Struthio camelus: one gene and its partners. The protein of the gene in region 1 purifies or fractionates together with the protein of each later gene. This does not show direct contact. Links are inferred from orthologs where the notes say so. Each region holds a gene or a part of one and is shown in the gene's direction. Other genes may lie near its edges.

What was found. Proteins that work in one complex are often made in the same cells at the same time.
Region 2: the proteins of ARMC8 (region 1) and RANBP10 purify together in Homo sapiens (affinity purification with mass spectrometry; 5 studies listed by BioGRID and IntAct, with this or other methods). This does not show direct contact. The link is inferred for Struthio camelus from reciprocal best matches to the Homo sapiens genes ARMC8 and RANBP10.
Region 3: the proteins of ARMC8 (region 1) and UBE2H purify together in Homo sapiens (affinity purification with mass spectrometry; 3 studies listed by BioGRID and IntAct, with this or other methods). This does not show direct contact. The link is inferred for Struthio camelus from reciprocal best matches to the Homo sapiens genes ARMC8 and UBE2H.

Annotation. Positions count from the first base shown.
Region 1 is NC_090950.1:5,470,592-5,478,426, reverse strand, and holds the start of ARMC8 (armadillo repeat-containing protein 8), read left to right. Parts: upstream 1-4,064; 5' UTR 4,065-4,182; coding exon 4,183-4,275; intron 4,276-4,775; coding exon 4,776-4,852; intron 4,853-7,835. UniProt on the Homo sapiens protein: Component of the CTLH E3 ubiquitin-protein ligase complex that selectively accepts ubiquitin from UBE2H and mediates ubiquitination and subsequent proteasomal degradation of the transcription factor HBP1.
Region 2 is NC_090951.1:24,215,039-24,223,051, reverse strand, and holds the start of RANBP10 (ran-binding protein 10), read left to right. Parts: upstream 1-4,793; 5' UTR 4,794-5,333; coding exon 5,334-5,538; intron 5,539-6,530; coding exon 6,531-6,642; intron 6,643-8,013. UniProt on the Homo sapiens protein: May act as an adapter protein to couple membrane receptors to intracellular signaling pathways.
Region 3 is NC_090942.1:1,893,108-1,900,990, reverse strand, and holds the start of UBE2H (ubiquitin-conjugating enzyme E2 H), read left to right. Parts: upstream 1-4,663; 5' UTR 4,664-4,746; coding exon 4,747-4,799; intron 4,800-7,883. UniProt on the Homo sapiens protein: Accepts ubiquitin from the E1 complex and catalyzes its covalent attachment to other proteins. E2 ubiquitin conjugating enzyme that transfers ubiquitin to MAEA, a core component of the CTLH E3 ubiquitin-protein ligase complex.

The DNA of each region.
Region 1 (7,835 bases):
GAACAGGGATTTGGACAAGGAGCCACAACTGTCACGGATTAGTGAGAATGAGCTGTAGCAGGGAAACTAATAGAACCTATTAGATCATAGGTCCAGGTCAGAATCAGTTTCAGATTCTGGCATTCATCTAGCCTCTGTTTCTCTCCTGTCAGCACTTAACTATGAAACCTAAATGCATACAAGTATTCAAGAGCTAGGAAATGCCAAAATTAAAGTTCTCCACAGTCTTGATTACCAGCTTTAGCATCCTGGGTTTTTTGTTTGTTTTTTTTTTCCAGGGAACACTATCTTGTGTATTAAATGATTAGCTGGGCTTTGTTAATACTGCTCTTGTATCTCTCTATACCTGCTCATCTGTCAGAACACTCACTGAAGAGTTGTAAGATGTGATTTAAAAAAAAAAAAAAAAAAAGTGGAAACTTAGTATAACCTTCAGCTTATCCCAAATAGCTGTGAACTGTCAGCTAGGTTACTGAAGATAGCTGAGGGATATCTTTAAGGGTCCTGGGTCTGTTCCTAAGATCTTAACTATACCTATGTTTTCGCGTGATCTGGGACTATCATGGAAATACTTTATTTCATCTTTCTGAGGGGGCAGAGGAAATTTTAAGCGTAAATTCTGGAAGGAGCCTGAATAGCCTCTGAAAAAATCTGAGCCTGATATTCAACTGTCTAATTCTACATGAACTGGAGTGGAAGATGTTGGTTATATTTGATAGACTTTTAGTCTGATTCCATATGATTTTTAAAGTAAATGTCTTTTCCTTTCTGATAAATGTATTTTGGCTCTCTAGAAAGCAGGAGGTTTTGCCAAGGTAGAATGCTGGTTTTTAAATCTTCAAAGATTTTATTTTTCTTTTAATGAAGTTTTTCAGCACCCACTGAGCAGGGTGCAGATGGTAAATGTACTTACCATAAAAAATGTTGGAGTACAACCTGTGTCTGATCTTTATAGAGTTGCTATGCTCTTTCTTTCAGTTGCATCCTCTTTGCAATTTAAAGTACCCATCTCTAACTGTGCTCTCATCCACTATGGATTTTCCCTGTCAGCAGGGTTCTCTGCTGCATGTAGAACTCAATTGCAGTACTGAATTTGAAGCCTCTCCAGTAAAGACGACCATAAATTCCAACAAGTATGTAGAAGAGTAGGAAAGGCTGATAATCAGTTCAATTGGCTCTTAAGATCCAGAGTCTTCATCCCTCTTTAAAAAGTTTTAAAAGTCTTTGCAATTTTTTGACTCTCTTTGATTTTAGTGAGAAATATCTGGAAAATGCTCATCTCCATGAGACTGTGGTACAGGCCATAATCACATTGTTCAGTATATGAGACTTGCCTTTAGTTTGAAAACGTTTTTACTGTTATCTATAAAGTGCTTGAGAAAAGTGGCTAACACAAGTATTTTGTTCAGAGCATGTTATATTAAATCTACGCAAAGAGCAACAAACTAAGAAAAGGGGTATAACTACTTTTTCTTGAGAAGTGGAATATTTTTCAAGTTAAAGCAAACATCAGCTGCTATTAAAGTTAACTTCTGAAAGCATCTTAAAACGTTTATTGTGCTCCCCTGTTATCCTCTGCAGAATCTCTGCTAACAGCTGGCAAACTTGGGTTTAACAGTTACCTTACAATAGCAAAAATGAAGACTTAAGTGAACCCTGACCTGGGGTGGTTTTACCTTCCCGCCCCCATTCAGTGCTGTCTTCAGGAGTAATGACGTCCCCACATCTCAAGGAACGAAATACAGGAGGACTAATACCAAAATATCAGCTCTTACGGAAAGCTACAGCCAAACTGGATAAATTCCTGCTTTTTCTTGAGGTTTTCACTACAACTCCCCCCCCCCCCCCCAAAACCGCAACAAGATTATGTCAGAAGAAGCCATGACTTTCCCCCAGGCCAGTCAGAGCAGAGGCAGATAAAGCGAAGCCTCGTTGCTTGTTGCAGAGCGGCGGCAGTCAGGAAGGCACCTCACCGGATTACCTGGGCCCTCGTGGAGCGAGGACGGGGGTTTAGTCAGGCTGCCGAGTGCTGGCGTTGCCCTCGGGGCCTTAGGGCCGCGCAGGAGGAGACCGAGGGGCTCCCTCGAAAGTCCCGCTGCCGTTCCTGCCCCGCGGATGAGGAAGACGGCAGCGGGGGCTGCCTCAGCTAAGAGCTCAGCCGCCGCCGCCTCCCCCAGCGAGAGGAGGAGCAGCGGCAGGGCCCCCGTTGCCGCCCAGGTGCCTTCCCGAGCGGCTCGGCGGGTAGGTAAGCTTTGCCCTGGCGCTGAGCGGCTGCGGGACCGAGGCCCCCGGCGAGCTGCTGCAGCAGCGCCTCTCGCCCGGCGTTATCGTGCTGCGCGGGGCCCGCCCCTCCCCTCTCCCCCTCCTTTGGGCCCCCGTAACGGCGCGCCGCGCCTGCGCGCTCCGCCCGCCTGACTCACGGGCCGGCGCGGGAGAGGCGGCTGTGGTGGCGGCGGCGGGCGCATGCGCGGGCGGAGGTGTGGCGGGGGGAAGGTGCCCGCCCTGCGGCTTGCCGTGGCGCGCTGGCGGCGCAGGCGCGGCGGCGCGGGCTCGCGGAAGGTAGCGGGGTTTCGGCGTCGGCCGATTCGCTGGGCGCGAGGTCCGCGGCGCCCCGCCCCTCCCCTCTTCTCCCCCCCCCCCCGCCCCCCCCGCCCCGGCGGCGCCGCGCTCCGCGATGTGGCCGTGCCCGCCGGCGGCGGCGGTGGTGGCGGCGGCAGCGGCGGCGCGCGCGCGGGCTTGAGGGCGCCGCCGCCGGAGTTGCTGCGTCCGCCAAGATGGCGTGCGTGCTGGAGGCGCCGCTCCGCATGAGCGTCCTCTCGGTGAGTGCCGCGCGGCCCGCCCCGCCCCCGCCCCCGGGCCCGGCCTGACCTTGGCCTTCGCGGCGGCCCCGCTTTGTGTGCGGGGTGAAGGGGGGGGCCGCGGGCCGGGCGGGCGGCTTTCCCCCGGGCCGCTGCCGTGCCGCCCTGCCGGGGCGGCCCCCGGCCGCTTCCTGGAGAGTTCGGCTCGTCTGACAGTGAAACGCGCCCGGATTTAACCTTTAACGAAGGGGTTTTCACCTCCCTTTTGGGTGGGGGGGGGGGCGGCTCGGCGTCTGCAGGCGCCCCGCCGTGAACCTCCCGGGCCCGCGGCAACTCGCGGCCGGCGAGCGGAGCCGCAGCGCCGAGCGGCCGCGTGGGGGAACGGCGGCGGTGTGGGGGGGCGGGGGGCTGTCCGGGGCCGAAACGCCGGTCGTGTGCCCTCCTGGCCGCGCTGCCGCGGCCCCCGCTGCGGGGAGGGCGCCGGTGCCCGGTGCCCGCCTCCCACGGCCGCCGGCGCCGCGGGGAGGCACAGCGCCCAGGGCTGCAGCGTGGCTGCTCCTCGGAGAGCTTAAGGGCTTCTCTGGCTGCGGTTTGCTGCTAGCTAAGAGGACCCTGAGACTATGATAACGTCAATAAATTTCTTTTTTCCCCGATACTTTTTTTTTTTTTTTTGGAAAAACTTGTTTGGCTGCATATGACCGACCTTCTTCACCAGGCTACAGATCTAATAGTCAGTAGGGTGAAAGCCGGGATGTGTTAGAAGCAGGAGGTCTGAAGTCCAAAATATTTTTTTTGCGTATAAACATATAGACCTGGCAGGTGAAAGCCCGCTGCTGTTCTCAAAAACGCTGTCCTTGGTTACGTGGTGAAAGCTGAACTGAAAGCAAATTTATTTGGCAGAACGTAGTAGTACTCTTGGAGGCAAGACGCCTGCAGTCTCTAGATGATTCTTTTTCTCTCAGACTTGTGTGGGACTACAGGCAAGAAGCTGCTGGCACCTCCAGCATCTGGAGGGGGAGGCAGGAGCAGGCTTAGTCCAAGTGTAGATGCTCCCGAAAGCGAGGAGGACTTTACAGCTTCCTTATAGCTCCTTTCAAGGAAAACTCGTAAGGGGAAAACAGGAGAAGGCTCGTAGAAGGTTGAGCAGGCAAAAAGAACTGAGACAGCGGAGAGGCGCTCTGGCACGTGTTCATGAGAACCTGGAGGGAAAATTCCCTTGCCTTTTCCCACCCTTCTCTTCTGGAATGCTTTCCTTCTCCAACTTTGGAGCTTCTCAGAGAGAATGACAGATCACTGGTGCATAAGCGTTTAACTTGCAAGCACGGTCCTGTTGCCGAGAGGAGAGTTAGTTCACTTTGTGTTATAGAGTAGCTAGGGGAATGTTATGGAGGGTGTTGTGCTGCTGTCCGTGTTGGAATTGTGGGGACCAGTTTATAGAAGGACAGAGTCTCTGAAACATGTAAATATTTCCAATAAGGTAAGTTTCAGAAAAATGTCTCAATACAAGCTTCCTTATTTTTGAGAGTTCGCTTGTGGGTATGCTTCTTGAGCAACGTTAACTGTTCTTAAGAACTTTTTCTGTAAGGGATTTTCTGCTTATGTAGTAATTACACACAATAAAATTGAAGTGAAGACAGGACTGATGCCTCAAGTAGACCCCTTCTTGCATGACCTATTCATAAATATTTAAATACGTGGAGGTGCTCCATTAACTTGCTTTGACTCATAACATGGATATCCACATTTAGGTAAATCTTATTCTTTAAATCACATTTAAACACAAGGTTAATTCCTTGTGTGGGTGTTGCCCAGCAGTAACATACTGCACGTAAATATGATTCTGTGTTTTTGCTGATATCTTGCCTGGTAGGTTTTGTAGACTTGCTGCTTTTTTAGTCATTCCTTTTTGTCTGCCATTATATGAGTTGATGTAAATTATTAAAAAATATATATATATATATATTTATTTCTCTGCAGGAAGTAACGGCCAGTAGCCGCCACTATGTTGACAGATTATTTGACCTCGATCCCCAGAAAGTCCTGCAAGGTGTCATGTAAGTCATATGAAACAAATTCAAACTGTTGTTGTACCTAGGCTAAGTTTGCTTGAATTCTAGTAGTGTGATATGTCAGTGGAAAGAGATTCTTCCCATCTTTTTAGATAAATCTTGTTGGAAAACTCGCTATGTGAATTTTCCTGCAAACATGAGAATGTTGTTTTAGCATACTATCACTTTGTGGTGCATAGGGTTAGTACCCCAGCCTCCCAGTTGCTAGAAATGAGGTAAAACATTCTGTGAGCATTCAAATTTATTTTTGATACTTTTCTTCCTTCTGGCCTTTTCCTTTTGTTCCGTTTCCAGGTCTGATGAGAATTTTTTCTCTTATTTCACTGCCAAGTCAGCATACTTGCCTCTTCAGCTGTTTCCCCTGCCATCATGCCTGGAGTGTTGATTTTTTTGGATATGACTTCTGTCTCATCAAAGGGAATTGAGAGCTGAAAGAAAATGCTTCTATAGAAATTAATTTAGATATAACTTATGTTTCAGTATGTCTGTTGCATACCAGTGACAGGAGGTAATGGCTGAAAAATTCAGTAGAAGACTCTCGCTAGTGAGCGCATAGTAAAATTGGTGCAAAGATCTAGTTGTTTCCTTACTGTCCTTGAGCTATAAGCTTTCCGTTATATTCACACGGGGATGTGGCACACAAGTCCTTGCCTAGGACTGACTTTTAGTGGTGAAACCAGGCTTTCTCAGGCTTACGTGTAACTTGCTAGCAGTGGCTAACTAGCAAAGTGCTAGAAGACATTGAAGCCCTAAGTGGATGAAAAAGCCAAGAATGTTGGGTTTCATTGCTCATGGACAGTCTGAGGTGTTTCCAATAGCAGATGAGCAAAGTCACTCTGGAAAGCGTCCCAGGGAGGGAGTAGGGAACATATCAGAGTCAAGTATCCCTTTGAAATGCCTGAAAAACCCAGCCTGTATAAAACTATCTTGGATTTTTTTGTTGTTGTTGTTGAAATATCCTTTTGTTACCTGTATAAAACCTTCTGGTCCTCCAGTGTAAATATTTACAGGTTCTTAACTGTTCCCTGTGGAAAAGTTTGGCTTTGTTTCTGCTTCTTGGCCTTCTTAGTCCACTGCTCACAAAAGTGAGTTGGATGTTCCCAGGGGCAAGGATGTGTCTCATCCTGTGTGCAAGTGGGCTGACTGAGCCCCCTCTTTTCTCCTCGGCAGATGCTCTGAGCGCTGGGTGGTGCTCCCTCCCTGCGGTCCTTTCTTTTCAAAGAACTGTGGAACCCCAACCCTTGGGAATCCCTTCCCTATCTTTTGAGTTGTTATTCGCATCTTCTGAAGTTTAAGCAAAGAGTTTTCCCAGAAACAAAAATCTTAAGCGGTCTCTTTGTCTCAGCTAGCATCTGCAATGTCAATTGATTTTATGCTGAGCTGCCTTTCAGTTTTAATGTGGTCTAAGAACAGATAAATTGATAAGGGGCAACTATGTAACTGCAGAATATGTCTCTGCAGTTAGAGATCATAAGCTATCCATTTAAAGACAACAGAATACCAATATATTTTACAATAACTTTCTTTTTTGTTTGCCAGCTTGGTTCCTGGCTTCCAATATAAGAGATGTTTTGCTGCTTTGCCTCATGAATTTTTCGTAGCTCACTATTTTGGTCGTTTTATCATGTAGCTTTTTCAGATCATCCTTTTCCTGTGGTACTTGGACATGTCCTTTACGGATCCACTTTGGATCCACTTCTTTTGGATTCTGCTCTTGCTACCGTTTGAATTTTGCTACCATGAAGACCATGTGGCAGTATCTTTGAGGCTGAGCTTGGTGGAGGAGACATTTCTTCTCAAACAAATGCTCTGAGGTTTGGAGAGATTATAAGGGGTGTGAGTAAGAACAGATTTGAAGAAGGAGGTGTCTTTTAAGAATGGATCCGAGTTATTCTAGTTGTTGGAGTAACAGATGCTGCTACTTTGAAACTGCTGAAGGAGTTGCACAGAAGATGCCTTCCCTTTAGACTCAGACCTTTGAAAGTTACAGATCTGACAGGATTAGTGCCCCTGAAGGGTACAGGGGAAAAGGAGGAAAAAGTTACAGGACCGATCCGTGACACTCTGGCTAAGATCCTAATTCTGAGAATCTATCTTTCTTGACACTAAGCAAATCCTGCGTGATGGATTTGTTTTTTCCTGAATATGGGTGGATGGATGTGATACAGTCCAGTTCAGAATAGTGTATATAGTCTCTAACAAATTCTGTCAGTCCAAGATTCTCCTCAGGCAGACAAGAACTACTTTGCCCTTCTTCCTTTGACTTCAGGGTATCTGAAAAAGGTATTCAACCTGGAATGAACTGATGCTAGGGGGAGGTGGGGAGAAGGGGATTAAAGTCCCATCAGAAGTGTCTGTCAGAAGCTTTGCCAAGTGTTCTGCATAATTCACTGAAAATCTTTGGTTCCTAAGATGTGCTGTTTTTCCTGCATCTTGGCTGAAAATACTGATGACCTAGATTTTTATTTTGATTGATGGAACTGTATGAATATCGAGGACCAGGAAATAGGCTGTCTTGAGAGGGTTTGTTTCTGCAGATTGTCTTCAGGTGCAGTAGTTCTGTTCTTCACCTGGTATTAAGGAAACCTGGAAGAATAACTTGAGTTTGGGCCTTTTCTTTTATTGCACTCTTGTACATTTTAATGAAATCTAACTTCTGAATTAGGCTTGATAAAGGTAAAATGGAGCTAAGTATTTCTTGAACTTGAAAATCATGTCAATGCAGTTGACATTTTGTAACTTGAGAAAGCTCAGGGTTACATATGCTGAAAGGATCTGAATTATCAAATCTCTTATTTCCTTTCCTTCTCTTTTTCTTTTGCCAGACAATGAAGTCTTACCTGCTGAGGAGCTTTTTCCTTTTCCTCCTTATAGGAAAACTGAGAAAGCATTTCCTTTTTGGCTGGTATTGCTGTATGTAGCTCCACTGATCTTCTTTCAAAGTCCCAAGTTCCCTGCAGTATTTCTT
Region 2 (8,013 bases), on another chromosome or scaffold:
ATGTCCCAGTTCTAGAGACAAAATAATACACTTTAATTTCTTATACTAATGTAGCACATTTAGCTTGTTACAGAAGTGGCACATTCCTGGAATACAACCAAAATGCTAATGAAAAAAAAACCCAAAAAATAATATATGACTTTTACAGCCCTTAACCTCTCATTAGGTTGTTGATATATGTGTTCCTGGAATTTGATTTCTCATAATTTGGATACAGTTTTTTCAGTGTACTAATTTACTTTATTTACTAACACTGATACATACTAGGGAGCAGATGTTCTGTAGGAAGCTCCTGGCCTGCAACTAAATAGCATGTAGTTTCAGGTCTGCTTTTTAGCTGTATGGGTCCAATTCTGTCTATAATATTTGGCATGTATGTCCACTCAAGAAGCTGTAGCCAACAGCAACATTTATATGCCTCTCCTTTATCCTCCACCCTTAAAAAATTCCATAATTAATCCACAAAAGTGACATCTAGATATGAAATGCAAGAGTTTGCAGCAACAATCAGCTTTTGTCTCTCTCCATCAAAAAAAAGATTAAAACGACTAGAACTTGCTTAACTTCCTAATAGTTCGGGATGGTCCCTGAGCTTTCAGCAAGGCACTAATGTTCATGAAGTTAGTTAAAGTTTGGATGTTTCATTGGAATACTTCAACTCACCGGAGTCTTCTGTGTCTTGGAAAGAGTGTATTTCAATCTGTTAATATGTGTTTGGCAATCTGGAGTCTCAGAGGAAGATGCAAGAGAGGTCCTGTGCAATGGCAAGAAAGACACATTTCAAAATATACAGAATGAACTAAATACATGGTTCTATCCATGTATGAAGATTGAGAATCTCAGAGGAAGATACACCCAAAATAAACAGCCAGTTATGAACAGATGAAAATACCCAACAGGGTAACATATACAGAGGGACTGATTGAATAAAAAGATGGGTGACTTTGATTATTTGGATAAGGCCCGTAGTACAGCTGAACTCCGGTATTTGCTATTTGATAGCTGGTGCAATGTTTGGTACTGTCCTCACTGTTCCAATAAAAGTAACCATTTGCTCAATCGACTGCCAAGCTGCACTCTGCAGCTGAGCAAGCCTGAATGAATTGGTCTTCTAAAGAGTTAAGATAAGAAATGGTGCTGGAGAAGCTGACTGTGGCCCATGAGTTAAGAATTGGGATTTTGGGTACCCAAAGCGCCTGCAAAGCTAGCCCTCTGGGGTGGCAGTAGTGCCACAGGATAGATGGACCAACAACCAGAGGAACTAGCAAAACACAGAACACGTACAGCCAACAGATACAACCTAGAGCTCTCTTTCCTAGATTAGAAACTGATACGTATAGCAGAATAGGGCTTTTAGGAAGTGAACATATGATTGCATGTGTATTTTAGGAGAAAATTAGGGCTGCATGAAATGGTAAAACAATGCAATATCCAGAGATCACAATGAATTTGTAGAGTCACTTTATTGTACATTGGCACAGCACGATCAGACATTGTTTGATATCCTAAGAATTGGCTTCAGCTGCCAGTATGGTTTCATGCTTGGGTGGGAGTTAGGTGTCAGTGCTTAAGCAGATTTAAGTCACCAGCTCTCTGCTTTTGGAGGGAGGTGAGCGTGGGACGAGCTGAACTAGCTTTCAGAGGAGTCCAACAAGTGCCAGCACAGAGTCAGGGTGGGAGAAAACATCTGGTGAGCTGTTGGATCACCCACCCTAGCTCATAAAATGCCAGCCCCAAGTTGTAGCTCTGTGAAACACAGTAAGTCAGTGTAACAGCCCACCACTGCTGAAGGGGGAAGTTCTGCTCCTCTCTGTACCGCAGCAGGCTCCTAAGGCCTATGTAGTGCTAGCTCTAGTACACGCTGAACACTGCTCTGAGCTGTTTTACTTTGCTAATCCAAAGGAAAACTAACCTGCATCATTTTCTGAGGTTACCAGGTTAGAATGGCTCAAGATATAACATGCAAGTGTACCCTTCAGTGGGGGCAGCTCTCAGAAGGACTCAAGGATCACACGTTGATGAAGGAGGGGAAGGATTCTGTGACTGGCAATGGAAAGGGGAGAGAAACCCCAAGCAGTCGTGTCAGCTCAGTTGCCCAAGGAACCACAGCGTTTGGGTAAGATTCCCTGAGACACAGCGAGCTGATCCTATCAGCTTACCGCTGTCCTGTTCTCCCATCCTGTCTCTTCCTTCTAGATGTATTCTCCTGTAGTTTGCCTTGTGCTGCTGCCAGTGCTCATAGGACCTCCTAATAAGCTGCTTTAAGTCATCAACCCAGCACAAAATTAACCCAAGCTCATCTTTTCAATGCCCAGTGATAATGAAACACAACAAAACAGACATAGAGAACACACTTCATCCTTCTGAGAGTAGTGTACCTGGCCCAACGTGCTTTCATGGCATAACTCCACAAGCATGAGGAAGTAGTGGAAGCTCATGCTACATGCTGAGCCATAAGGAAGCACTGGAAAGGAGGGGTAACTGGGAGCCATGACTGAGAATATCAGATTCCACTAGTAAACAATATCCAGGGATACTCTGGGCCAAGGAGCAGGACAAGTATGAAGTGGCCAACAGTTCACAGAATTGCATGATCTTTTGAAAATCTCCAATATATAACAGATCATTAAGCATATAATAACTCATGTTTTAGAATACGAAGTGCATTTTTCATACATTAAAAATATTATTCCTAGCTATCTGGAAATGCCATGATACTATTTTATATTTGCAGCTAAACTCACTAACAGTTTTATAGTCAAAGTAGCGAGCACCCTCTACTTCTATCCACTTTTGGAACAGCTGAGTGCACTAACCACCTGAGAGCATATGCTTCGTTTTCTCTTGCAGGATGGGATCTTAAAGACAATGGCAGTCCAATCAGCCACATCAGTCAGGAAAGCAAGCAGTGTGCTACCAGACAGGAATGTGACAGGTTTTCACTTTCCTGACAAAAGCAAGGGTTCTCAGACTATGGGATGGCTCATGTTTGGATATGGAAAGATGCCTGTTCTCAGGTGCTATGATTATTTTTAGGAAGCCTACCTTAACAAAGTGAAAAGAGAAGGGTCTAGGACTTCTCCCATGAGTGGCATTGATTGCTACTTGGACTGTGGTACAGACAGTCTGGATTTGGAACTGAAGGCTTTTTCAGCATTGTGAAAGTTAGTAAAATTAAAGCAAGAAAAACTTGCTCATTGGATAAAACTTCCGTCTCATATTGCTGTTCATAGCGGAGCCCTCAAACAGAAAAGGCAGTGATAGTGTGCTCTTGGACTACCTGCATTATCTGAGTTTGAGATCCAAAGATAAAAATCTATCTGTTGGTATAAAATAAGCCTTCACCTTCCTCTGCCAGGATATACAGAGAAAAGTTGACTTGGCCAAGAATAGCCCAGAATTTTCCTTTTGAGGCTGTCCAGTCGGCTGTTAGGGCATCCAAAGCACCAATAGGCCTTAATTACCCTGATCAGCATCCCCTGGGACCACCACTCGCACACCCTCTGCCTGTTGGTCCAGAAGCTCCATTTAAGCTCAGGCCTGGGCCTTCAATCCCTTGCTTGTACTGTGCTATAGTTGTGCCTGTCTTCAGCCCTGTCTGCTGGATACACGTTGGACCTATGCTATAAGCTTGTCTCCAGCCAGTCTCTTACTCACTCTCCTGCTGCTCTTGACTGGACCCCATGGCTGGACCTTGTACCTGATTCATCACTCTGCTTCATCTGGGACTACAGAAGGATCCTGCTGTCAGCATCCTTCTTTGGGTGCTGTGGGACCACACCTGGTCAGTGAGGGCCCTGCCTGTGCTGTAGTCACCTTGGGCACCTGGCTCACCCTCCCTTGTGGAGCAGTGCTGCTCTGGCTGCTCCCAGGCACTCTCAGAAGGTAGGCAAAGGGTAGCCTGCAGAACGAAGAACCACATGCTTGAAGACCAGCATAATCTTTCAAAAAAAAAAAAAAAGAAGAAGAAGAAGAAAGAAAACAAAGGAGACCTCTTTCTCGTTATTCTCAAATATTGAAACTAACTGGAATAAGGCTTTAACAGTAGAGGCAGATATTTAGATAAAGTAGTGGTAAGAAAGAGGCATTATTTTCCAAAAAAAAAAAAAAAAAAACTTAGCTATGAGCAGTAACATTTGCAAAGTAACTACTAAAACAATCACTCTAGAAGTTCCTTCTTTTATTGTCTATGTGGCTCTTACTAGAAAAATGCTATATACTGAAGTCCTAAGAGCAATTTTTACAAGTCTTCTTCACTGTTTACTTATACTTGCTGAACTGTTAGTGCAGACAAGTGAATTCATCCCGCCTATGGCCTAACTTCATGCTCATTTTACACAGGCGGAGCGCTGCAGAAGCTGTCTCTGTAGCACCCGCGGGTTGCCCCAGACTCTGCGCCTACACGCGTTACAGGGAAGGGAGGTACTACGGCCTCGGGGAAGGAGAAGGGCTCTGCTCAGCTGTCGCCGAGGAGAGGGCGGACGCCGGCACTCGCTGCCCGCCCTGCCTGCCTGCCCGGCCCGGCCCGGCCCTTACCCGCCCGGCGGAGTGCGGCGCCCCGCCATAGCTTGCACTGTCCGCGCTGTTTACACGCGTCGCCATGGAGAGGCGCCCGGCCCCCCTCAGGACGCCCCCACGCGCCGCCATAGCTGCCCCGGCAACGCCTGACGCACTGGTGCGCCCGCGAGCCGCGGCAGTTCCGGAGCGGCCCGGGCCAGGGCCCGGCGGAAAGAGGGCTCTGTGAAGAGACCGGGTCCAGCACGAGGCCGCTGTAACAGCACTACCGCCCTCTTGGCGGAGCGGCTGCTACCAACCCCTACACGGAGGCGACAGCAGGACGCCAGTAAGCGCGCGACAACCCCTTAGGACCGCGCCACTGCAGGGCCTGCTGGGAGCGAAAGTCTGGCACTGCCTCTTAACTCAGAGAGCACCGGCCGTGCAGCCTCTTTCACTGTGCAGTCAGGATTGCTTCCGCCATGGGTCTCCTGCACTGCTAATGAACAGAGGATTTGTGTTTCTGTACTGCTGAGATTTCTTTTTTTCCTGCTCTGAATAGGTTCAGGACTACCATGCTCACGCGCGCCCGGCAAAAGGGGACTCTCTTCCCAGGCTGCAGCGCGCGGAGAGGTGTAGTGGGGCCTGGAGCGCGGGCTCTTTAGGGACTTGTAGTCCCAGCTAGCAGTGAGCGGCGGCGGCGGCGAGAAAGAGAGAGAGAGGACGGACTCCGGTTCCCGTCGGGCAGCGCGGCCCTATTGTGGCCGCTCTCGCACGCTATTGGCTAGCGGCCGGAAGCGGGCCTTGCTCCCCGCCCGGTGACACAAAGCGAATCCAAGATGGCGGATGCGGGCGCGGGGAGCCTGCAGGGGGGGGACTTGGGGTTGTCGTGCTCGCCCGAGGAGCAGGAGCTGAGCCAGCGCCTCCGCCGCCTCTACCCTGCCGTCAATCAGGAGGAGACGCCGCTGCCACGATCCTGGAGCCCCAAGGACAAGTACAACTACATCGGCCTCTCGCAGGGCAACCTTCGCGTCCACTACAAAGGTGCCAGGCTGGAGCTGCGGGCCGGGTTCGGCCTGGAGCGCGGCCCTGCCCCTGCCTTCGGCCCCGGCCACTCTGCTGGCGCAGCGGGGCGGCAGGCCAGGCCAACAGTTCGGGCCTCCCGTGGGCGGGCAGGGCGGCCGTGGCCACAACTCTGACTGCCGCAGTCCCGGGCCTCCCCCAGGGGCAGAGGTGCCGCGGCCGGGGAGCGGAACAGGGTGGAGGGGCCGCGGGGCTTCTGCCACGTCTGTGGGGCGAGCAGGTCAGCGGTGGTGCTGTGGCTGGGTTTAACCCCGGACCGGGTCTTTTCTGGGGCAGGGAGGCTGATGCACCCTTGAGCTGAGGGCTTTTTTCCCGACAGTGTGTTGTGCCATACATAATGCTTTACAGTGTCACTAAACGGGGTGTGGGCCCATCTGTGTAGCTGGATCTTCTATTCACTCTGTTATGCTACTTAAAATCTGGCCAAGGAGATGGATGAAGTGGACGCATTGCATAACTGTGGCTTTTGCTACATGAGTTTATACAAAATAGACGCTCTCAGACTTCTTAGACTTGGGAAATCACTTTGATGTTTTTCTTTATTGCTATTGGAGACTGTTCTCCCTACTCCCCCCCCCCCCCCCCACACACAGAAAACTGTTCATACCTTTTCTTACCTGGCTGGTAAATACAGATGTAATTCCTATTTTGCATAATCTGTTTGTTTTCTGTTTGTATACATTGATTTTTAAACAACATATGTGGGAAGGGGGTGAGGTAGTACCTCAGTACCTTTAGAGTGGAAACAAAGGAAAAAACCATAGTGCTCATAGCGTAGGAATTGTACATGGTGGCAATGCAGAGTTGTATATTTTATTTCTCTGAAAAAAACAGCTTTTAATTTTTGAATATATGCAGAAATGGATCTCTGCTGCATTCAGATAGTGGTGTTTTAGAACAAAACGTGAGAGACTTCAAATCCTCTAAGTACTTAAATTTCTGTTCTCTCCTAGGTCATGGTAAAAATCATAAGGATGCTGCCTCAGTCAGGGCTACACACCCCATACCTGCAGCTTGCGGCATTTATTACTTTGAGGTGAAGATTGTCAGTAAAGGTAGAGATGGGTAAGTACGGTATTCCAATTTGATTTGAAATACACATCACGTTTGGGGATGTGTATTTAGCAACTCTGCTGTGCTCAGACCTGCTTTCTGGAAGGGTTACGGGTCATATGGCTGTTGGTTATCACAGGCAGGTATATCATTGGGAGGTTGATTAATAGATGTGAAGGTGGTAGAATGCACTGGATTCAGAGGCACTTATGCAGTTTTTTTATCTGCTGTTTGATATGGACAGTTGTAACAATTTAAGAGTTTTGGGTCTCCAGTGCAATTTGAGTTACAATAGTTTTTTTTTCTTGCTAACTAGGTCTGGTCACTCAGATTCCTGGACCTGAAAAGGAAGTATTATGGTGTCACAGAGATGACCTAGGAACCTAGCCCAGATAAATTCATGACAGATGGAGGAAATGCTGCTTTTTAATTTTCTCCTGCAGTGGGGGATGAACATGTTGTAACCCAAACTATTTTCATGGGCACATTTCTATTGAAACGTGGATAGATGTTGGATTTAGTATTTACGTAGACAGGAGAGAGTGAAGGAGGTATGCAAAGAAAGAGAAATGAGGTATTTCCAAATATAGGCTGAAACTTCTGTCATCTTTTGTCCAGGACTTGAATTTGGACTTGGAGTCATTTTCTAAGAGTAGATTGCAACACAGAGTATTTTGGCAGATAACAACTGTGCAAGCTTGGGAGACTGTGTTGGTAACAGAATGCTAGATATGAGAATGTTTTTCCAAACTTGATCATTGTTTTTATGACAGTATTTAATATTTTAGGCTGACTTTGAGACTACATTTGCCATATCAGTCCTTATTATTTAGACCAGTAGCAACTAGAGGAATTGCAAAAGCAGCAAGTCCTGTCAGTAGCATTAGAAGCAGCATGGAAACAGCTCAATTACTCAATTAAGAAGCACTCACTGTACTGGCAGTGAGTTTTGGATCTCATCCAGACTTGCAGTGACTGAATTGAGTGTTCTGTTCCAAAATATAACAACCAGGTTGAATGTGAAGTTCCTTTATATCCTATCAGGATGTTTGGAAACTTGAGAAAATAATAAAGGGGTATTACCAACAAGATTTGGGCTTCTGCTGCCTGTATAGATGATTTTTAACCATAAAAAAGATACCAACCAGCTGTGTGTGCGTGTGTTTTTTTTTTTTTTTTCATTGCTAAAGGATGAACATCACAAATACAACCATGCAGAAAGGAGGGTGCTAAGTATAATTCGTTAATCCAGTCCTCTAAGAAAACAGGTTGAACTCTGGGCAATTTAGGGGCCTGAGGAAAGGTCAGCAAGGATTCCTAGTAGACGCCAAATTACAGATGTAATTTCTTATTATTGAAATTTTTTACTGTCCTTGTTAATTG
Region 3 (7,883 bases), on another chromosome or scaffold:
ACCTTCATATCCCCAGTCAGCCCTTCCTTGTTTTTAAGAATGAGGTCCAGCAGAACACCTCTTCTTCTTGGCTCCTCCATCACCTGTATCAGGAATTTGTCACCAGTGCCCTCCAGGAAGCTCCTGGATTGCTGTTGCCGTGTTGCGTTGTCCCTCCAGCAGATATCGGGGCAGTTAAAGTCTCCTACGATGACCAGGGTCTGCAAACATGAGGCTACTTCTAGCTGTCTGTAGAAGGCCTCATCTACTTCTTCCTAATCAGGTGGCCTACAGCAAACACCCACAACAACGTCACCCGTGATTGTTCTGCCCATTAATCCTTACCGGTAAGCTCTTAGTCAGCCCCATCGTCCACCCCCAGGCAGAGCTCCGTGCATTTCTGCTGCTCTCTCATATAAAGGATGACTCCCCCTCCTCGCCATCCCAGCCTGTCCTTCCTAAAGAGCCTGTGCCCATCCATTGCAGCATTGCAGTCATGGGAGCTATTATCCCACCCCGTCTCTGTGATGCCAATGAGATCATCGCCCTGCAGCTGCACGCAGATCTCTAGTTCCTCCTGTTTATTCTCCATGCTGCATGCATTAGTGTACCAGCACTTCAGAGAGGCACCCAAGCGTGCCGATTTCCCAGAAAGGGTGTGAGAGGTTTCCCCGTAGTGTTGTCTTGTGGGCACTTCCTTGCCTACATGCAAATACTTGGTGCATCCCCACTTAAGCCCTGTTTTGTTGCTTGTGCGTTCCCTGCAACTCTCTCCCTCCCTGGTAATTCCTTGTTTAAAGCCCTCCTTACCAGGTCGCCCAGCCTGTTGGCAAAGATGCTTTTGCCCTGCTTGGTGAGGGGGATCCCATCTCTCCCAAGTAGACAGCTGTCTTCAAACAGGGTCCCGTGGTCCCAGAAGCCGAAACCTGGTTGGGCCAGCTGTGCAGCCAACTGTGGACTTGCAGCATCAGTCCACTCCTCCTCACACTCTTTCCCTCACTGGCAGGATTGAGGAGAAAAACACCCAGGCCCCATACCGCTGACCACTGCCCCCAGTGCTCTGTAGTCATGTTCGATACGTCCCAAGCTGCCTTTGGCAGTATCGTTGGTGCCACCTGGAAGAGCAGCAGGGGTAATTGTCCCAAGAGTTGGACAAGCCTCGTCAGCCTCTCTGTAACATCCCGGATCCGAGCCCCCAGCAAGCGGCAAACCTCTCTTGATGACAGGTCATGTTGGCAGATGGGAGCCTCTGTTCCCTGCAGCAGGGAGTCACTACCGCCATCCCTCGCTGCGTCGTGTCCTGGCTGGGTGCTGGGGCGAGCGAGGCTCTGGTGCAGGCCTGATGGGGCGAGAGGGTGGTTTGCATCAGGGTAGTTTGTCTTCCTTTTGTGAGAAAGACCCAATTGCACCGCTCCCCGGGAAATGCTGCTGTGGCCCTTCCTCTCCAGATGCAGGGCACTCCATCATGCTCCTCTGCCGCTTTGACTTCAGAAGGCGGTGTGACATTAGCCTGCAGGCTGGGCAGGGCCAGGCCATTTGGGTGCCCAGCACTGAAAAACATGGATGTCGTAATCAGTCGGAGGCTGGTCATGGCACCGTTGGCAACGGTGCAGGGGAAAAGCAGGCAGCAGCACCAAGGAAGGGGCCGGTGCCTGGGGTGCCTGGGCATGGCATCACCTCTGCCGCAGCCCCACGACACCCATGGGACACGGCCTAACGAGGAGTGCCTTCACCCCCTGGTTGCCGTGGCCCAGGAGTTGTCGGGAACGGAGGTAGAGCAGGCTTAGCCCTGGGGGATCACATGGGGCCACGGGACAAGATACAGCCACGAGACGCTCAGGGCCCCAGGGCACCCCGCTGCGAGAGGGGCCCAGCACGAAGATGCTACGTGCCCACACACAAACGCACGGGCCGGCATTCCTGGTCTCCCTCTCTCACACGTGCACCCCTGCCCTGGGTGCCCTTACCCTGGCTCTGGCTGTCTCCACCTTGCCCTGGGTGTCCCACCTGGCCAGGGTGCCCTCATCCTAGCTCTGGGTGTCCCACCTGCCCAGGGTACCCTCAACCTAGCTCTGGGTGTCCCACCTGTCCGTGGTGTCCTCACCCTGGCTCTGGGTGTCCCACCTGCACAGGGTGTCTCCACCTTGCCCCAGAGGGCAGGGCATGGAGGAGCCCCTTCCCCAACTGTCTGCCCTATCTCCCTCTGCTCCCCATGACTCCCCTTGCCTCCTACAATTCCCCATGGATTCCCCCCCCCTCCCCACAGCTCCCACCCGTCACCGTGGCTCCTCCAGCTCCCCCAATCCCCACAGCTTCCCATAGCTCCCCATGGCTCCCCTAATCCCCACAGCTCCCCACAGCTCCCCCAATCCCTACAGCTCCCCATGGCTCCCCCAATCTTCATGGCTCCTCTCAACTCTCCACAGCTCCCCCAATCCCTATGGCTCCCCACAGCTCCCCATGGCTCCCCCTATCCTCGTGGCTCCTCACAGTCCCCATGGCTCCCCCAATCCCCATGGCTCCCCACAGCTCTCCCCCAATCCTCACAGCTCCCCATGGCTCCCCCAATCCCCACAGCTCCCCACAGGTCTCCCCCAATCCTCACAGCTCCCCACAGCTCCCCCAATCCTCACAGCTCCCCATAGCTCCTCCAATCCCCACAGCTCCCCACAGCTTTCCCCCAATCCCCACAGCTCCCCACAGGTCTCCCCCAATCCCCATGGCTCCCCACAGCTCTCCCCCAACCCTCACAGCTCCCCATGGCTCCCCATGGCTCCCCCAATCCCCACAGCTCCCCATAGCTCCCCAATCCTCAAAGCTCCCCACAGCTCCCCACAACTCTCCCCCAGTCTCCACAGCTCCCCACAGCTCCCCATAGCTCCCCCAATCCCCATGGCTCCGCATGGCTTTCCCTCAATCCCCACAGCTCCCCATGGCTCCCCCAATCCCCATGGCTCCCCATGGCTCTCCCCAATCCCCACAGCTCCCCATAGCTCCCCAGTCCTCATGGCTCCCCACAGGTCTCCCCCAATCCCCACAGCTCCCCATGGCTCCCCCAATCCCCACAGCTCCCCATAGCTCCTCCAATCCTCATGGCTCCCCACAGCTCTCCCCCAATCCCCACAGCTCCCCACAGCTCCCCCAATCCTCACAGTTCCCCACAGCTCCCCATGGCTCCCCCAATCCCCACAGCTTCGCACAACTCTCCCTCAATCTCCACAGCTCCCCATGGCTCCCCCAATCCCCATGGCTCCCCATGGCTCTCCCCAATCCCCACAGCTCCCTGCAGCTCCCCCAATCCTCGCAGCTCCCCCAATCCTCACAGCTCCCCATAGCTCCCCACAGCTCCCCATGGCTCTCCCCCAATCCCCACAGCTCCCCATAGCTCCCCCAATCCCCACAGCTCCCCATGGCTCCCCCAATCCCCACAGCTCCCCACAACTCTCCCTCAATCTCCACAGCTCCCCATGGCTCTCCCCCAATCCCCACAGCTCCCCATGGCTCCCCCAATCCCCACAGCTCCCCACACCCGGCCTGGCAGCCATTTTCCCTGCCGGGGCCACCCAGGGCACGGGGGACCCTCCCAAACCCCCTCGCCCCAGGTGACGAGCCGGAGCCAGGCGCCAGCTCGGTGATGCCGGCTGAGGCAGGAGGGGACGGGACGAGACGGCCGGCACCACCGTCCCCGCCGCCCCGCGGGCGCCGAGCGCGACTCTCCCCGGCTTTACACCCGGCCACGCTCAAAATGGCTCCCCCGGGGCCCCGCCACAGGGCCGAGGCCGGCGGCGGCTCCCCGGCGGGAGGCGGCGCGCCGGCGTCGAGGCTCTGCTTCTCTGGAAGCCTCGTCTCCCCTCATTAGTGGAAAGGCCTCGTTAGCGTGCTACGGACCCGGGCGCAAAGCCCGTTTGGGAAGCCGCCCGGGCGAAAGCCCTACAGAAAGGGCCTCGCGAGCGAACGAGCTGAAAGGCGAATGATTTAAACGGGGGCACGAGGCGGGGGGGGGGGGCACGGCGGGATCTCGTCGCCCTGCTGCCGGGAGGCGACCCGGCCGGAGCTGCCGAGGGACGGGGCCGTTCGGCCAACCCGCGTTTTAAGGATGGTGGCAGCAGCAGCAGGCCCCAAAGGTGGCCGGAGAGCGGGAAAGCCGTGCGGCCAGCTTGTGGGCGAGCGGGAAGGACGACGCGGTGCTTTGCACTGAGGTTACGCTGGCGGTGTCACCGCGGGGCGGCGGCGGCTGCGGGGGGTGGAGGGGGGGGGGGGGGGGAACCAAGTCGCCCCGCCGGGGTCTCGAACCCGCCGCCTCGCCCTTCGCTTTCCGCCTTCGGCAGCCCGCCCTGCCGCACTACAACTCCCGGCAGGCGGTGGGGCGGAGCGCGGCGAGCGGGCGGGGCCGGCGCGCTGCCGTCACGGCGGCGGCGCGGCCAATGGCAGCGGGGCGAGGCGGTGAGGTCACTGTGGGTGACGTCAGGAGTCCAGAGAGAGGCTCCGGCAGAGGCGAGCGGAGCGGAGCGGGGCCGGCGGCTGCGGGAGCGCGAGGCGGCGGCGGCGGCGGCGGCGGCGGCGGCGGCGGCGGCCCCGCCACAGGAGGGCGGCGGCGACAGGAGCAGCAGCAGCAGTAGCAGCGGCGGCGGCGGCAGAGGGGGGGTCCCAGCGGCTCGGAGCCCGGCGCCCCCCCCCCCCCGCTCCCCTCCGCGCCGGGCGGCCCCGGGCGGCGGCGGCGGCGGCGCTGACAGCCCGCCCGGAGCACCGGGGGCGGCCGCGGCCACCATGTCCTCCCCCAGCCCGGGCAAGAGGCGGATGGACACCGACGTGGTCAAGCTGTATCCTTCCCGCACCACCCCTCCGCCGACAGCCCCGCGGGCCTGCACCGGGGAGGGGTGGGGGGGGGCAGCACCGGCCCTCCCCCCCCCCCCCCGGGCAACGGCAGGGCCAGGCCCCCTCCCCGGGGCTCCCTCCCTGCCTGCCTGGGGTCAGACCTGCCCCCCCCCCCGAGGCCCCCCCACACTGTGGGGAAAGCCTCCCCCCCCCCATCCTAAGCCTTGTTTGGGGGCTCCCCGGTTTGACAGCCCGTGGTTCCCCCCCCCCCGAAAAAAAACCCAGCGAGGGCCGCAGCCTGGTGGCTGGCACCCCCTTTCCTGCCCCGGCCTGCGGCCCAGCTGCTTGGGGTTTGAGGGGGGGGGGGAAGCTGCCCCCGCGGCCACAGCCCAGAGAAAGGCTTTTGTGGTGTTTATCTTTATTTACTCCTCGGTTTCAGCCTGCGGTTCACGAAGCTTCTGGTGCTGGGCTTAGGGATTTTAATATTTTGGGGGCTGGAGGGTGCTGCTGGGATTGCCCGTGGCGGCGGGGTGGGAGACGGGCTCAGTGCGGCCCCGGACCCCCGGCCGGTTTTGCGAGCGGTCCCGTTTACGTAACGCTCCAGGTTGGGCTAGGCTTCCCCCCACCCCTTCCTTGATAGATCTGTTTTTATATATATATATATATATTTATTTATTTATTTATATATGTTTTTTTTTCCTCCTCACTCTTCTTGGCCCTTTGCAGGGTGGCAAATCCTTTTCTCTCTGTCTGGAGTGTGGGTGGTATTGAAAATATCGGTGGGGGTTTGGCTATAGGATTGGTTTTGGTTTTTTTTTTTTAATTAATAGTTTTTATGTATTTATTTATTTATTTATTGCTTACAAGGCGGTGGTGTGTGTCGAGGTGGGTAGAAATGACAAGAGCAAGCGAAATGTTTTCGGCTCTGTTTACTGGAGGTGTTGAACCTCTCGGGGGGGACGGTGGCTCTAACTTTGCGTGTGGCGTTGAGGGGTCGGTAAAACAGATCTGATTGAGTTCCCAGAGAGATAAACAAACTTGCTTGGATTTTGTGTTTTTAAAGGGGGGGGGGGGAAAGAAGAGCGATACCGCTCGTGTTTGTGGCGTGAGGGTGGCTTATCAAAGGAAACTTCTGTCGGTGTTTCGTGTGCGTTTCTCTGTACAAAGCTGCTCTTGGTATATTTTCGTGTTGTTTTTTAAGCAAATAGGAAATGACTACCGATCATGGTTGAATCCGAGCTATTTTTATCTGAGGTTTAAAGTTACGCACATGTCACACTCTGCCGAATGCAAATTTCGATCGATGGTTAATTGCGCTGGGAGGAGGGTTGGGAATTCCAGCTGTTTAGCAGGGGGGAAAAAAAAAATCTTCATTAGCCATAGTCTCGAAAGAGGACGGGGCTGAAGAGGGGCCGAGGCCCAACCTGATCTGCTGCTCTCCTTTCCCCTCCCCCTCTTTTTTTTTTTTTTTGTTCATTTAGTAGCTGGCATCTCCAGCGATTCCAGCATTTTAGGAGACAAAGAGCAGGGATTTTTCTTTCTTTTTATTTTTTTTGAAGTGGCTTCACTTGTTCTATATCTCTAGCGGTGGCGGTAGGTAGAAAGCCCCCAAATATTTGGCGTTCCTCCCAACGCTGGGTGGTTTCTGCTCTGCTCTCCCCCCCCCCCCACCCCCCGGCCACCGACAAAAGAAACCAAAGGGTTTTCCAAAAGCAGAGCTCTCGTTATTGTCAGCGCGGCGTCCCTGGTGTCCGAGGGCGAGGGTTAGAGCGGTCGGTGTCCTGCAGACAACAAACTTAGGAAGTTGTCTATGTCAGATGACTCTTCCCTCCACTCCTCCCTCCCCGAGCCTTTTTGTTTGTCCGTCCGACTTGTCTAGCCTGCCCAGGCTGAGTCCGGCTCTGTAGGCCCAGGCTCCCCGGGCGCTTCGCTCCGTGTACGTTGGGAGTCTTCCTGCCTGGGAGCTGATGTGAAATAAGGGTCTGTCGCGAGCCGTGGGAGCGACGGATGGTTTTGGTGGTGACCAAATGAGAGAGGACTAGTCTGGAGGAATGTACTTGAAGGCTGCTCCTCCCTGGGGCTGGATGGTTTTGTTGTTGTGTAGGGTTTTTTTTTTTTTTCCCCCCCCCTTTTGCTGCCATTTTCGTTACAGTTTCCCTTTTCAGCCTCTTTTCATGTCTCCAGTCTAGAATAATGGCGTGGATTTATCGCCTGCCAAGGGCTACCTTTTTGGATAGGGAGGGGGTGACGTTGTGAGTGAATAACGCTGCTGCCTTCTCCTGCTCTGACAGGTTTAGGAGCCGAGTGGGGTCTTTTTTATTATTCCTATTTTCAATCCTAACACGTCCATGTCCTTTTGTGGACGCGTCTTTGTGAGCAGGGAAGGGGAGAGGTTGCTTGGGCTCTCTCCCTGGATGGCTGGTGGGGGGGGGAGCCGTGTGTGTTAATGTGTTGAACCGATGTTTAATAATCGCCCGGGTGATTATGTGCTGAAACTCTGAGTCACTCATTGTCTCTCTCTCTCTCTCTCTCTCTCTCCCCCCGATCGTGCTCCCAACGTTGTGCGAATGTTGGGGAAGGGCCTGCAGCCGGGGTCCGCGCTGCGTTGCCCCCCTCCTTTGGGGGGGGGGGTGGCGGCTGCCATCCCTCTCCCCGATTTCTGAAATTTCCTGGGTTGCTGCGCTCAGTCCCCGGTCCAGCCTGCCGCACGCACCCAGCGGGGGCACTGCCACGAGCCCGGGCACCTCTGCCCCCCGGGGGGGACGCCGGGGATCCCGGTTCGGAGCCAGCCGCTGGCCTCCGAGCCCTGTTTGCAGGCAAGAGGCCTCGGGCAGAGCTCGCAACTCCGCGGATTGGCTGCTCTGTTACTACCCGGAAACCAGGGCCGGGGCGGAGCGAGGCGACAGCTGATGGGGAGCCTGACCCAGCGTGTTTACACCGGCGGGGGGACGTGCCCTGGGGTCCCCCGCGGCCTCCCCAGCCCCGGCTCGCGGGGCCCTTCGGAGCCGCCTGCGGTCATCTCCAGGCAGGGTGTATTGTTCCGCCTTGGGGAGCGGTGTGGGCTCCTCAAGGCGAGCTGTTTGCAGCTT